3 linked regions of the Macaca fascicularis genome follow. The protein of the gene in region 1 purifies or fractionates together with the protein of each later gene. This does not show direct contact. Links are inferred from orthologs where the notes say so. Each region holds a gene or a part of one and is shown in the gene's direction. Other genes may lie near its edges.

Evidence for each region.
Region 2: the proteins of MAP4K5 (region 1) and CRK purify together in Homo sapiens (affinity purification with mass spectrometry; 4 studies listed by BioGRID and IntAct, with this or other methods). This does not show direct contact. The link is inferred for Macaca fascicularis from reciprocal best matches to the Homo sapiens genes MAP4K5 and CRK.
Region 3: the proteins of MAP4K5 (region 1) and CRKL purify together in Homo sapiens (affinity purification with western blotting; 3 studies listed by BioGRID and IntAct, with this or other methods). This does not show direct contact. The link is inferred for Macaca fascicularis from reciprocal best matches to the Homo sapiens genes MAP4K5 and CRKL.

What each region holds. Positions count from the first base shown.
Region 1 is NC_088381.1:118,371,235-118,374,880, reverse strand, and holds part of MAP4K5 (mitogen-activated protein kinase kinase kinase kinase 5), read left to right. Parts: coding exon 1-113; intron 114-472; coding exon 473-531; intron 532-2,786; coding exon 2,787-2,890; intron 2,891-3,281; coding exon 3,282-3,459; intron 3,460-3,646. UniProt on the Homo sapiens protein: May play a role in the response to environmental stress. Appears to act upstream of the JUN N-terminal pathway.
Region 2 is NC_088390.1:1,562,594-1,566,805, reverse strand, and holds the start of CRK (adapter molecule crk), read left to right. Parts: upstream 1-1,346; 5' UTR 1,347-1,490; coding exon 1,491-1,731; intron 1,732-4,212. UniProt on the Homo sapiens protein: Involved in cell branching and adhesion mediated by BCAR1-CRK-RAPGEF1 signaling and activation of RAP1.
Region 3 is NC_088384.1:31,891,438-31,895,796, forward strand, and holds the start of CRKL (crk-like protein), read left to right. Parts: upstream 1-1,493; 5' UTR 1,494-2,019; coding exon 2,020-2,330; intron 2,331-4,359. UniProt on the Homo sapiens protein: May mediate the transduction of intracellular signals.

The sequences.
Region 1 (3,646 bases):
AAAACCTTTCAGCTCTACTCTCACAATCTTATAGCTTTGTTTGAACATGCCAAAAAACCAGGATTAGCTGCCCATATTCAAACTCACAGGTTTCCAGACCGCATACTACCAAGGTATAAAATATCATTTTGATTCTACTGAATGAGGGGAATTAGTGTTTATTTTAAAAATAGCCGGTATTTCTTGCCCAGTAAAAAACTTCGTCTTAATTTTCAAAAGTAGTTTACACTAAAGTGTATTATATCTGGAAAAGCTGAATGTTTTCTGAACTTGACCATGAGAATCAACTGTGGAAGTTTTATAATACAGACTATCAGGCCCTTCCTCAGTCCTGTAAGGTCAGATAGTGTGGAGTTAGGATCCAAGACAGTTTTTTAAGCTCCTTTCTGTCTGATTCTGATGCAACTGATTTACAAATCACTTTATTGTAACCACTACTGTAGAGTACATTTATATTGTCTTATGTTTTCAGAAAATTCGCTTTAACAACAAAGATTCCTGATACAAAAGGCTGCCACAAATGTTGCATTGGTGAGTAAATGGTATTTCTCAAACTGAATGGTTAGAACTTTTAAGATCTTTAAAATTATCTGAAGAGTCTTATGGAAACAAATAGGAAGGAGGGTAGGTTTTTAAAATTTGTTTTTAATAAGAAGTTAAGCTGCCATTGAAGTACAAGAATATAGACAGACATGGCATAGAAATGCTTAGAGATAAAAACCTTAGTGTTTTCTCAGAGCATAGTGTTCCTAGAGTTTTGTAACCATAGTTCCTGAGACTGTTTCTTTGCTAATATTCTAACTTTCATTTATTTAATATTTGCCATCTACCAGTTACTACCCATGTTTTATGAACATGTTTACAGGAGTTGAGCCAACTATGCAGTTAGAAGGAACAGTTCACACAAAAACAGCCTCACTTATGATACCAATTGCAAATTGGGGGATTCCCAAAACTACCCCCAGAATAAAAAAATTCACTAGAAGGTATCACAGAACTGGAAGCAGTTATACTCATAGTTACGATTACAATTTAGAACAGGGAAAGAATACAGATTAAAATCAGCCAAGGGAAGAAGTACATAAGGCAGAGTCCAGTAGAAGTACCAAACATGGAGCTTCTGTTGTCCTCTCCCTGTGGTTAATGGATAGCACTACTTTTCCAGCATTGGTATGTGACAGTACACACAACCATTGCCAACCACAAGCTTATTCGAACCTCAGTGTCCAGAGTTTTTACTGGGGCTTCATTATAAAGGCGTGATTGATTGACCACCTTGCTGATCTCAGTATGCAGCCCCACTAGAGGTCATCTGATGTTGCATGACCCAAAGCCCTCACCCAAAATCACATTTTTGGTATTTCTGGCATGACCAGCCCTCACATTAAGACTATCCAGTGTGGCCAGTCCCCACCCGAAATCATTATTGTTATATTATCCAGTGACCAGAGTCCCCCAGACAAAGACAGTCCTGTCAAGCCTGACATTCCAAAGGCTTAGCAATTACCTCCCAGAAGCAGGACAGAGACCAGACCTCTTTTTGTGTGAGGTTAAATTCTTTACTACATAATTACCTCATTTAACCATTAAACAACTCCATAATACTAATTATGTCACTAGTAAGTAACAGAACGTAGGAATCAGATTCAGGTTCAGTGACTTCAGATCTTGAGTTCCTAACTTCCTATTTATTCTTTTGTTTGATCAATGAACTTGCACATTGATCTTTGTGCCACATAATAGTTTCACAGCATAGTCCATACTGTAAAACAAAAATGTTTAACCACAAATGTGCTATAAATATAAGCACATTGTATGATTATTTTTCTGGGGAGAATCATGTCAATATCTATTATCAGATTCCCAAGATCTGTGATGCACAAAAGGCCTAGAAGCTTACAATCTAAGATATAAACTCATAAATAATACTTTAGAGTTTAATGCAAATAACTATTCTTATAATAAATGATTATAATTATTAATGGAAATCAAATTTGGGAGAAGGAATGAGCAATATGAATTTTTATAGATTTGAGTCCAGGATGTTATATCAAGATGAATTAATATATACAAGATGAATTATTTTCATCTTAAGTAGACATCTGTACCCTACTATACCAAAACGAGGTGCTTTTCAGTTGCCTCCTAGACCTTGTCAGAACTCATTCTTGTAAATTTTCTTAGTAAATTCAATTTGAATTTACTAAGAAACAGCTTTTTGGGGAGGCCAAGATGGGAGGATTGGTTGAGCCCAGGAGTTCAAGACCAGCCTGGGCAACATAGTGAGACCCCATCTCTTAAAAAAAAAAATTGAAAAATTAGCTGGGCATGGTCGCATACACCTATAGTCTCTGCTACTCAGGAAGCTGATGTAGGAGGATTGGTTGAGCCTGGGAGGATGAGGTTGCAGTTAGCCGTTATTGTGCCACTGCATTCTAGCCTGGGTGACAGAGCAAGACCCTGTCTCTTTAAAAAGAAAAAGAAAGAAGGAGGACGGGAAGGAGTGAGGAAGGGAAAAAAACAGCTTTTTAGGTTGCATATTAGGTTGTTATTGTGCTTGTAAAAAGTTCTTATGTTTAAGAACCTAGTATATGAAAGTTGTTTAGAAGTAAACATATATAATTTAAAATCTAGATAAGAAAGTAAAACGGAAAAGGCGACGAAGCCAAAAGAAAAGACACAATCTTTTTTTATTTTCCACCCACTCTTGTCATCCTAGTTAACAGATACAGTAAAAGTATTCAGTATTTTGAGTGTGTCTGGGTTTTTTGTTTATTTCTTTCCAGTCAGAAACCCTTACACGGGACATAAATACCTCTGTGGAGCTTTACAGTCTGGAATTGTTTTACTTCAGTGGTATGAGCCAATGCAGAAATTCATGTTGATAAAGGTATATATTATTTTGTTCACATTTTTCTCCTTTAGAAAACACTAGCGTATAACTGAAGCTAAAATTAAAAGATCCCAATACTACTATCTAGGGTCAGAACATTTATAGTTATTTGTAGTTGTTTATTTGATTTAGGGCTTTTTGTGTTCTTAGGATTTAATCTTTAACTGATATTAATAACTTCCAGAACCATCAGTCATAAAGATAAATATGGCCAATTCTCGAAGACACATTTTTATAGACCATTTATCCTTCTTATCATCTTAGAGGTAATCCTTTTTAGAACTAGATAAATGAAGAAGATGGGAGTCTTTCTGTTGAGTTTATTCAACAATGGTATGAATGGGGAGATTGTTTCTGAATTATGGCTCTCTTGTTTATTTTTTTGCAGCACTTTGATTTTCCTTTGCCAAGTCCTTTGAATGTTTTTGAAATGCTGGTGATACCAGAACAAGAATACCCTATGGTCTGTGTAGCGATTAGCAAAGGCACTGAATCGAATCAGGTAGTTCAGTTTGAGACAATCAATTTGAACTCTGCATCCTCATGGTTTACAGAAATTGGTGCAGGTAAGTATTTTTTACCTTATGTTAGAATATTGATACTTTTGTGTATAAAAGAAGCAAAACACCAGTGTGGGCTCTTTTAAATATTCAAAACAGTTTCCCAAGTAAGCCCATAGAATCGTGTACATATATTTATGATCTCTATTTGCCAGAGGTAGTTTGATACAAATTATTTAGACAAAGGAAATTT
Region 2 (4,212 bases), on another chromosome or scaffold:
TCTAGAACTCCTGACCTCAGGTGATCCGCCTGCCTCAGCCTCCCAAAGTGTTGGGATTACAGGCGTGAGCCACCGTGCCCAGCCAGATCTGTATTTTAGAAAACTCAGTGGGAGCTGTTTGCAGTGCAATTAGAGGCAACCAGACGAAAGGGCACCAGCGAGCAAGCCACTCATAGGAACACAGTCCAGAGTGACCATGACGGCAGTGAAAGTAGGAGATGCCCCTGGCTACAATTTAGTGTTTAGAAGTATCTGGGCAGGTGACCCCAAAGCCTCAAAAGAGAGGAGAACTCTGTACTTCACGTGGCTTGGCACACTCTGCTCCCTTTGCTTTGAATGTCCTTCCCCTTTTGTCATTCAGCAGTCAACACATGCTACCTCCTCTGGGAAGCCCTCTTGGATTACTCCGCAGACTGGATGGAGGGGGGCTCTGCTCTGTGTTCATGTCCGTTTCCCATGATAGCGCTTGTCAGCATTTGTCATCCTTTTGTCATGCAGTTTCCTGGTTCCTCTCACTGGTGTGTGAGTTTGAGGAGTGCAGGGCCCAGCATCCATCACCTTTGCACCCGCAGTGCAGGTGGAGTGTCCATAACAATGTCCTGAATGAATCAATGAAAATGAGAACGTCAGCCGGCCTGTGGAGAAGCTAGAGGAACGAGAAGAAACAGACCGACATGGCCGGGAGCGATGTTTCTCGCCTGTAATCCCAGCACTTTGGGAGACCGAAGCGGGTGGATCACCCGAGGTCAGGAGTTCGAGACCAGCCTGGCCAACATGGTGAAACCCCCGTCTCTACTAAAAATACAAAAATTAGCCAGGCGTGGTGGCGCTCGCCTGTAATCCCAGCTACTTGGGAGGCGGAGGCAGGAGAATCGCTTGAACGCGGGAGGCGGAGGTTGCGGTGAGCCGAGATCGCGGCACTGCACTCCAGTCTGGGCGACAGAGACACCGTCTGAAAAAACAAAATAAGAAAAAGAAAAGAGAAACAGACTGATATCCCAGGAAGCCTGGCCGAGAACTGAGGCCCCAGGGCCACACGCGTCTTTTCTCCTGCAATCCTGTCTGGGAGCCGCCGCCTAGAAGTCCCGGGCAGTCCGGGAACGCGAGCCTGAAGCAGCACCGCGCGGTCGGCGGCGCAGGCGCACGTCTCTGCGGGAGGCCGCGAGGCCCCGCCCCCGGGCCCTAGACCCCGCCTCCCATCCCCCTCATCCCCGGGCCGGGCAGGGCGGCACCGCCCATGAGGCCGCATGCGCAGTGCGCGCGCGAGGGCGCCTTGCCCTTCTCCCAATGGCGGGCCGCGGGCCCCTTCCCGGCAGCCTCCCTCGGGCAGGGAGCGCGTCATTTCCGGTGGGGAAGGCCCGCGGCTGCCGCCGCCATTTCGGGCGCTGCTGTGAAGCTGAAACCGGAGCCGGTCCGCTGGGCGGCGGGCGCCGGGGGCCGGAGGGGCGCGCGCGGCGGCGGCACCCCAGCGTTTAGGCGCGGAGGCAGCCATGGCGGGCAACTTCGACTCGGAGGAGCGGAGTAGCTGGTACTGGGGGCGGTTGAGTCGGCAGGAGGCGGTGGCGCTGCTGCAGGGCCAGCGGCACGGGGTGTTCCTGGTGCGGGACTCGAGCACCAGCCCCGGGGACTATGTGCTCAGCGTCTCAGAGAACTCGCGCGTCTCCCACTACATCATCAACAGCAGCGGCCCGCGCCCGCCAGTGCCGCCGTCGCCCGCCCAACCTCCGCCGGGTGAGGGACTGACGGGACGGGGGGCCCTGGGCGGGGTGAGGGCCGCGGAGCTCCCAGCCCGGCTGGCTGCTCCTTGAGAGCGGACCCTCGGGGTCGTGGGCAGAGGGCTGGGTGACCGTGGCAGGGGCCCGCCGGCTGCTGGGGCTCATTCCCACCCGGGGAACAGGAGTGTGGGGGAGGAGGAGCCGCGGACCGAGGCCCCGGGGTGTGCCTGGGAAGGGCAGCCCCGGGGAAGGGGAACTGCTTCGGCCCCAGGGTGGGGCTGGCTCCCGGGCCAGGCGCAAGGGTAGGGCAGGGCAAGGCAACGTGGGGACAAAGAGCTGAGGGAGATGTTGGCACTGCGGGGGCATCACTTGGCAGCGGCGCCCAGAATGAATCCGATAATCCTACAAGTGGCTTTTGGGCTGGAAGCGTTTCCTGCCGTGTTGGAGAGCCGGGTTTGGCCGTGCTCCCCTGGTGGCCTTTGGTAGGAAGTCACCACAAACTGGCCGGGAGGGATGGAGACACCCTCAGGAAACCGGTTAGTTTTTTCCTTTCTTGGGCATTTTTCCAAAATCCTTGTACCGTCCTCTTCCCCCGTGGAGGACGAAGGTGGTGAATTAAGTGATAGAAGAAAGCCTTCAGTGACCAGCCCAACCCAGTTTAAGGCGATGCCTGGCTGCGTGCAGGACATCTAAGCGTCCAGAAGACTGTCCGCCGGTAGAGGGTTCTGGTTTTCAAAGTGTTTAGTGGAGGAAAGACATTTTATTCCAGAGAATAAACCAGAAATGAGGCAGTGGAAACAGACCCTTCCCTGGATGTGACTGGAGCTTCATTTTCCTTGGACTTAAACATTGTCAGTGTGTACTTCAGGGCGTGACCTTGCTCAGTAAGATGGGGCTGCGGGCTGAGTCTTCCTGGATGCTGGGAACAGACTCTACGCCAAGAACATAAATTACCTGCGCTGGGTTTTTCTTGCCAGGGATCCCTGAGATTGACTGTCTTTCCGATGCCGTTGGAGTTGATTTGGGAGTGTTTCAAGGGAATAGATAGATGCCCTTAGTACTGGAGATTTGTGAGGTACGAAGTAATTCTGGGGTTCTCATTGTATGTGTACCTGTTTAACAGCATCAGGAGTCCTCGTGCCTTCACACTGTTGCCAAGTCGAAGCTGTTTCTTCTTGGCCGCTGAGACTGGGTTCAGACTAGTCTCCTATGAATCAGGAAGCTCCTGAGCCATCCTCTCTAGACTTTCTCTTGTAGGATCGTTCTAATTTAGATTTACTTGTTCCGGCCAGAAATGGAGAATTGAATAGCCAGTCTCTTTGTTATTAACACATACCAATTTTTATTTTACTTTTTCCTGAGACGGAGTCTCGCTCTGTCGCCCATGCTGGAGCGCAGTAGCACGATCTCGGCTCATGGCCACCTCCACCTCCCCGGGGCTCCCGGGTTCAAGATTCTCCTGCCTCAGTCTCCCGAGTAGCTGGGATTACAGGCACCCACCACCACAACCAGCTAATGTTGTATTTCTAGTAGAGACAAGATTTCACCAGATTGGCCAGGCTGGTCTCAAACTCCTGACCTCAGGTGATCCACCCTCCCAAAATGCTGGGATTACAGGTATGAGCCACCGTGCCTGGCCAACACATAACCAATTTTTTTCTTATTTTATTTATTTATTTATTATTTATTTATTTTGAGACAGAGTCTCTCTCTGTCACCCAGGCTGGAGTGCAGTGGCGCCATCTTGGCTCACTGCAACCTCCGCCTTTTGGGTTCAAGTGATTCTCCTGCCTCAGCCTCCTAAGTAGCTGGGATTACCAGTGCCTGTCACCACGCCCATCTAATTTTTGTATTTTTAGTAGAGATGGGGTTTTACCAGGTTGACCAGGTGGGTCTTGAACTCCTGACCTCAGGTAATCCACTCGCCTTTGCCCCCTCAAAGTGCTGGGATTACGGGTGTGAGCCACCGCACCCAGCTTTGTTTGTTTGAGGCGGAGTTTCACTTTTGTTGCCCAGGCTGGAGTTCAGTGGTGTGATCTCAGCTCACTGCAATCTCTACGTCGTGGGTTCAAAGGATTCTCTTGCTTCAGCCTCCCTAGTAGCTGGGATTACAGGCACACGCCACCATGCCTGGCTAGTTTTTGTATTTTTAGTAGAGATGGGGTTTCACCATGTTGACCAGGCTGGTCTCGAACTCCTGACCTCAGGTGATCCGCCCGCCTCAGCCTCCCAAAGTGCTGGGATTACAGGTGTGAGCCACCACACCCAGCCCAACACATAACTATTTTTAGAAAATGAGTATGGGGTCTATAAGTTCACAAATTATTGTAGATCTTTCTCATTCTGGCCAGTTTAATGGTGTTATGAGATGGGAATATTGATGTACCTGTGTTGGCCCTGAACCAGATATATGCTACTTTGATGCCACCTGCGTGGTATCTGGGGTTTTGCATTATATGTAGTAACATGATGGCAAACTTACTGAAACTCACTTTTC
Region 3 (4,359 bases), on another chromosome or scaffold:
GAAGTGGAGATTTTTCTCTCCTCCCTCACCCACCGAGGGTATGCTCAGGGTTTTAGGCTATAAAGGTACAGGCCCAGGGAACGAGTGAATAATAATAATGGAAGACTCATATGATGCTTATGTGCCAGGTACTATTCTAAGCACTTTGCATATATTAGCTTATTTCATACATAGCTGGGCCGGGCGCCTCACATCTTGGCTGAGGGGGAGGATTGTTTGAGCTCAGGAGTCTGAGACGAGCCTGGGCAACATAGTGAGATTTCGTCTCTATTAAAAATAAAAAAAAATTAACTGGGCATGGCAGCGTGAGCCTGTAGTCCCAGCTACTCGGAAGGCTGAGGTGGGAGGATCCCTTGAGATGCAGAAATCAAGGCTGCAGTGAGCCATGATAGTTCCACTGCACTCCAACCTGGGTGACAGAAGGAGAACCTGTCTCAAAAACAAAATAAAACAAACAGGCCGGGCACGGTGGCTCACGCCTGTAATCCTAGCACTTTGGGAAGCTGAGGCAAGCAGATCACCTGAGGTCAGGAGTTTGAGACCAGCCTGGCCAACATGGTGAAACCCCGTCTCTACTAAAAATACAAAAATTAGCAGGGCATGGCTGCGGATGGCTGTAATCCCAGCTACTCGGGAGGCTGAGGCAGGAGAATCGCCTGAACCCGGCAGGCGGAGGTTGCAGTGAGCCGAGATCGCGCCCCTGCACTCCAACCTGTGGATAGAGCGAGACTCCGTCTCAAAATAAATAAATAAATAAATAAATAAATAAAAATAGAAAACAACAAAAACAAATAGGGATTAATAAATAGGGAGAAGCAGGCATAATCCAGGGCAGGCGAAGCCTCCGGGCCACGCCCGAGAGGCGTTTGCATTTTACCTTCAACAGTTCAAAGCCCTGGATGGCCAGGTTACCCAATTGTGGCCTGCCTTGACTACTTAATTGAGTCAATCTAACCCCCACCTTCTCTCTCCTCTCTCTCCATTTAGCGGGTCACGTAGCCACTAGGGCTTCCTTAGCCTATCAAGCCACCTGGGGACTGAGTCATTCAGTCACCTATCTGGTAGTCACATCTGCCCCTGGGGTCATCCCTTTACTGGGCCACCTCGGCCCATCGTGACCTGTCACTTCTTGAGCTCCCTCAGGCCCCTAGGCTGGCCAGGTCGCCTCAGTGCCACGCCTCCCTGGCCCGCGATTCGGCCTGCACGTTACGCTTTGTTCCCAGAAGCAGGTTTTCGACACGCCGCTCCCTCTCGGCTCCAGCTGTTTTCCTGCCAGCGCTGGGAGACCCGGCAGCCGCAGCGCCCCCAGCGGCGCGCAGCGGCCCAGGAAGAGAGTGCCTACCGCCGGCGCCTCTTCAGCCTCCTCCCGGAACGCGGGAGCGGGCGCGACCAGCGCCCACCCAGATCGTCGTGACGGTGCTCCTCATTGGCAGCATTGTGTGACGCCACGGAAGGGCCCCGGCGGCCGCCGGGAGCCGGGGCTCCGCGCGTGCGCAGACGGAGCGCGCTGAGCGCAGGGGGAGGTGGCTGCCGCTTCTCCCGCGTCCGCCATTTTGTTGCTGTAGCTATTGGGAACGAGCTGGGCAAAACCACCCCGGAGGCGCGACGCTCCTTCGAGTTCGGTGCCTCGTGTGACGGCGGGGGTCGGTGAAGACCCGTGGAGCTGCGACGCCGGCGCGTTCCAGGCCGGGAGTCACTGGAGGCACCCCTGGGACGCCGAGCAGCCCGAGAACCCCGGGGTGGCCTCAGCTGCGGCTCGGCTTTGCGTGCCCTGACCCCCCGGCTCTGCCCTGCATTCCCGGGCGGCTCTCCGTGAGGCGGCCCCGGAGCAGGCGGGCGACGTTGGAGGATGCTGCGGGCCTGGAGCCGAGAGGAAAGTGCTGGCCCAGCCCTCTGAGCGCTCCTCGAGGTGTGCGAGAGGCCCTTCCTCGGCCCCAAAGCCGTCTGCCGGGCTAAGGCGTGCAGAGCAGGCGAGGACAGCCGCCGCCCCTACCGCCGCAGAGTCCCCGGCCCGACACCATGTCCTCTGCCAGGTTCGACTCCTCGGACCGCTCCGCCTGGTACATGGGGCCGGTGTCTCGCCAGGAGGCGCAGACCCGGCTCCAGGGCCAGCGCCACGGTATGTTCCTCGTCCGCGATTCTTCCACCTGCCCTGGGGACTATGTGCTGTCGGTGTCCGAGAACTCGCGGGTCTCCCACTACATCATCAACTCGCTGCCCAACCGCCGTTTTAAGATCGGGGACCAGGAGTTTGACCATTTGCCGGCCCTGTTGGAGTTTTACAAGATCCACTACCTGGACACCACCACTCTCATCGAACCCGCGCCCAGGTACGCGAGAGCCCGCCCCGACCGCGGAGGAAGGTCGATAACCGGGTCGGTCGAAGGGTGTTTGTGTAGGGAGGTGGGGCGCGCTTGAACCCATATTCCCCCCATTCTGAACCAAATTATTTTCCAGAAGGCCTTCCTAATGGAAAGCTAGTGTCAGGATCTAGGTCACTGGATAAGAGGATGCGTTTTTGTTTTTTGTGTTTTCCTCATGAGGCTGTTTCTCAATGTCAGGAGGATGCGTTTTAAATGTTTAACGGGGGTGGCATAAAATGCACGCTTTTTGCCTTTCGTGACTTTCTCTGGGTGTAATACTGATGCAGGGATTTGCTGGTTTTCCTAAAAACCTTTTTTTTGAGACGGAGTCGCCAGGCTGAAGTGCAGTGGTGCGATCCCGGCTCAATGCCACCTCCGAGGGCCTCCCAGGTTCAAGCTATTCTCCTGCCTCAGCCTCCCGAGTAGCTGGGACTACAGGCTCACGCCACCACGCCCAGCTAATTTTTGTATTTTTAGTAGAGACGGTGTTTCACCATTTTGGCCGGGATGGTCCCGATCTCTTGACCTCATGATCCCCCTGCCTTGGTCTCCCAAAATGCTGGGATTACAGGCATGAGCCACCGCACCCGGCCAAAAACCGTTTTTAGCCATAGACTTCTTTGAGAATCTGGAGATAGCCGAGCACTCACCACCCAAGCCCCACCCCTCCTCGCCAAAGGCACGTACACACAAGTTTGCACACTATCCCAGGTTCTTGTACTCCCTCCAAATCTCTGAACTCCAGGTTAACTCCAGGACTGCAGCCTTTGTAACAGTCGACAAAATGAAACCAAAATATCAAAACTATATATTTGATACTGTGGTGCCAAGTTTGAAGCAGGCCAGACACCACCACTTTTATAGTACGTTAATCACAAAGATAAGGTGCATTGGCTTCAGCGAGGATATTTTTGGAAAATGTATTTAATATTTTCTCCCCAAGGACCATTAGTAGGCCAGAGATTAGTCTGATTAATTTCCAAGGTGGAATTAGGCTAAAATGTTATTAAGGAAAATTTTTGAATTACACTGAGTTGTATCCTAGTTCAATTTCAGACGTGCTTTTTGTGTTAAGTCTAATGACTTAGTATCTCTTATTTTTAAATTAATGCAAAGTGACCAAGTAGTCTCTTTTCCAAGTGAAATACATTATTTTAATTGATTAGTTGCTTTAATTTGCCTTAAGCATTTTAACAAAGATTTGTTTTTATTGTTGTGTTTGCCCTGTAACACTTTGATTTTATCAGAGGTTTCTTTTATTTAAATTATCCCAAATTTGAGTTGAAAAGTTGCCTAGAATTTTTAAAGTAACAAACTGGCCAGTTCATTTCTTAAACATCTGTTTTAAAAGGATTGGGTGTTGATGCAGTTTTTCCAGGGTTAAATGTTTATGACTTTATGGATTTGTCGACCGGGTATTACTCTAAACTTTAAACATTAAAAGCTATTATAATTAAGGACACGAACTGTTTGCATAGTGAGATAGAGATAGAAAAAGAAGCCATGATAGTATAATGACTTTAAGATTAACTACTGAACTAAATGGACTTTAAAAGTGGGCAGAAAGTGATTATAAATCAAATACTGTATAACAAAGACCAGGACACCAAGAATCTGATTGGTGAAACATGCGGTTCCTGGCAGATGCTGGTAGTTGCAGTCAACTTTGAGCACAATATAATTCCAATTTAAGGGGTTGAGAATCTTAGAACCCACTGTAGTGAGATTTGTAGTATGATTGAATAAATTATTCATCTCGTTTGTGAGAGTGAATTATATAATTAATACCAGGCATTCATTAAGCCATGCATGTACTTACGTTGAGGTGATGAATACTAATAATACAGCTGTTTCAAAAAGCGAGTTAATGGCGGGGTGTGGTAGCTCACGCCAGTAATCCCAGCATTTTGGGAAGCCGAGCCAGGCAAATCACGAGGTCAGGAGTTCGAGACCAGCCTGACCAACATGGTGAAACCCCGTCTCTACTACAAATACA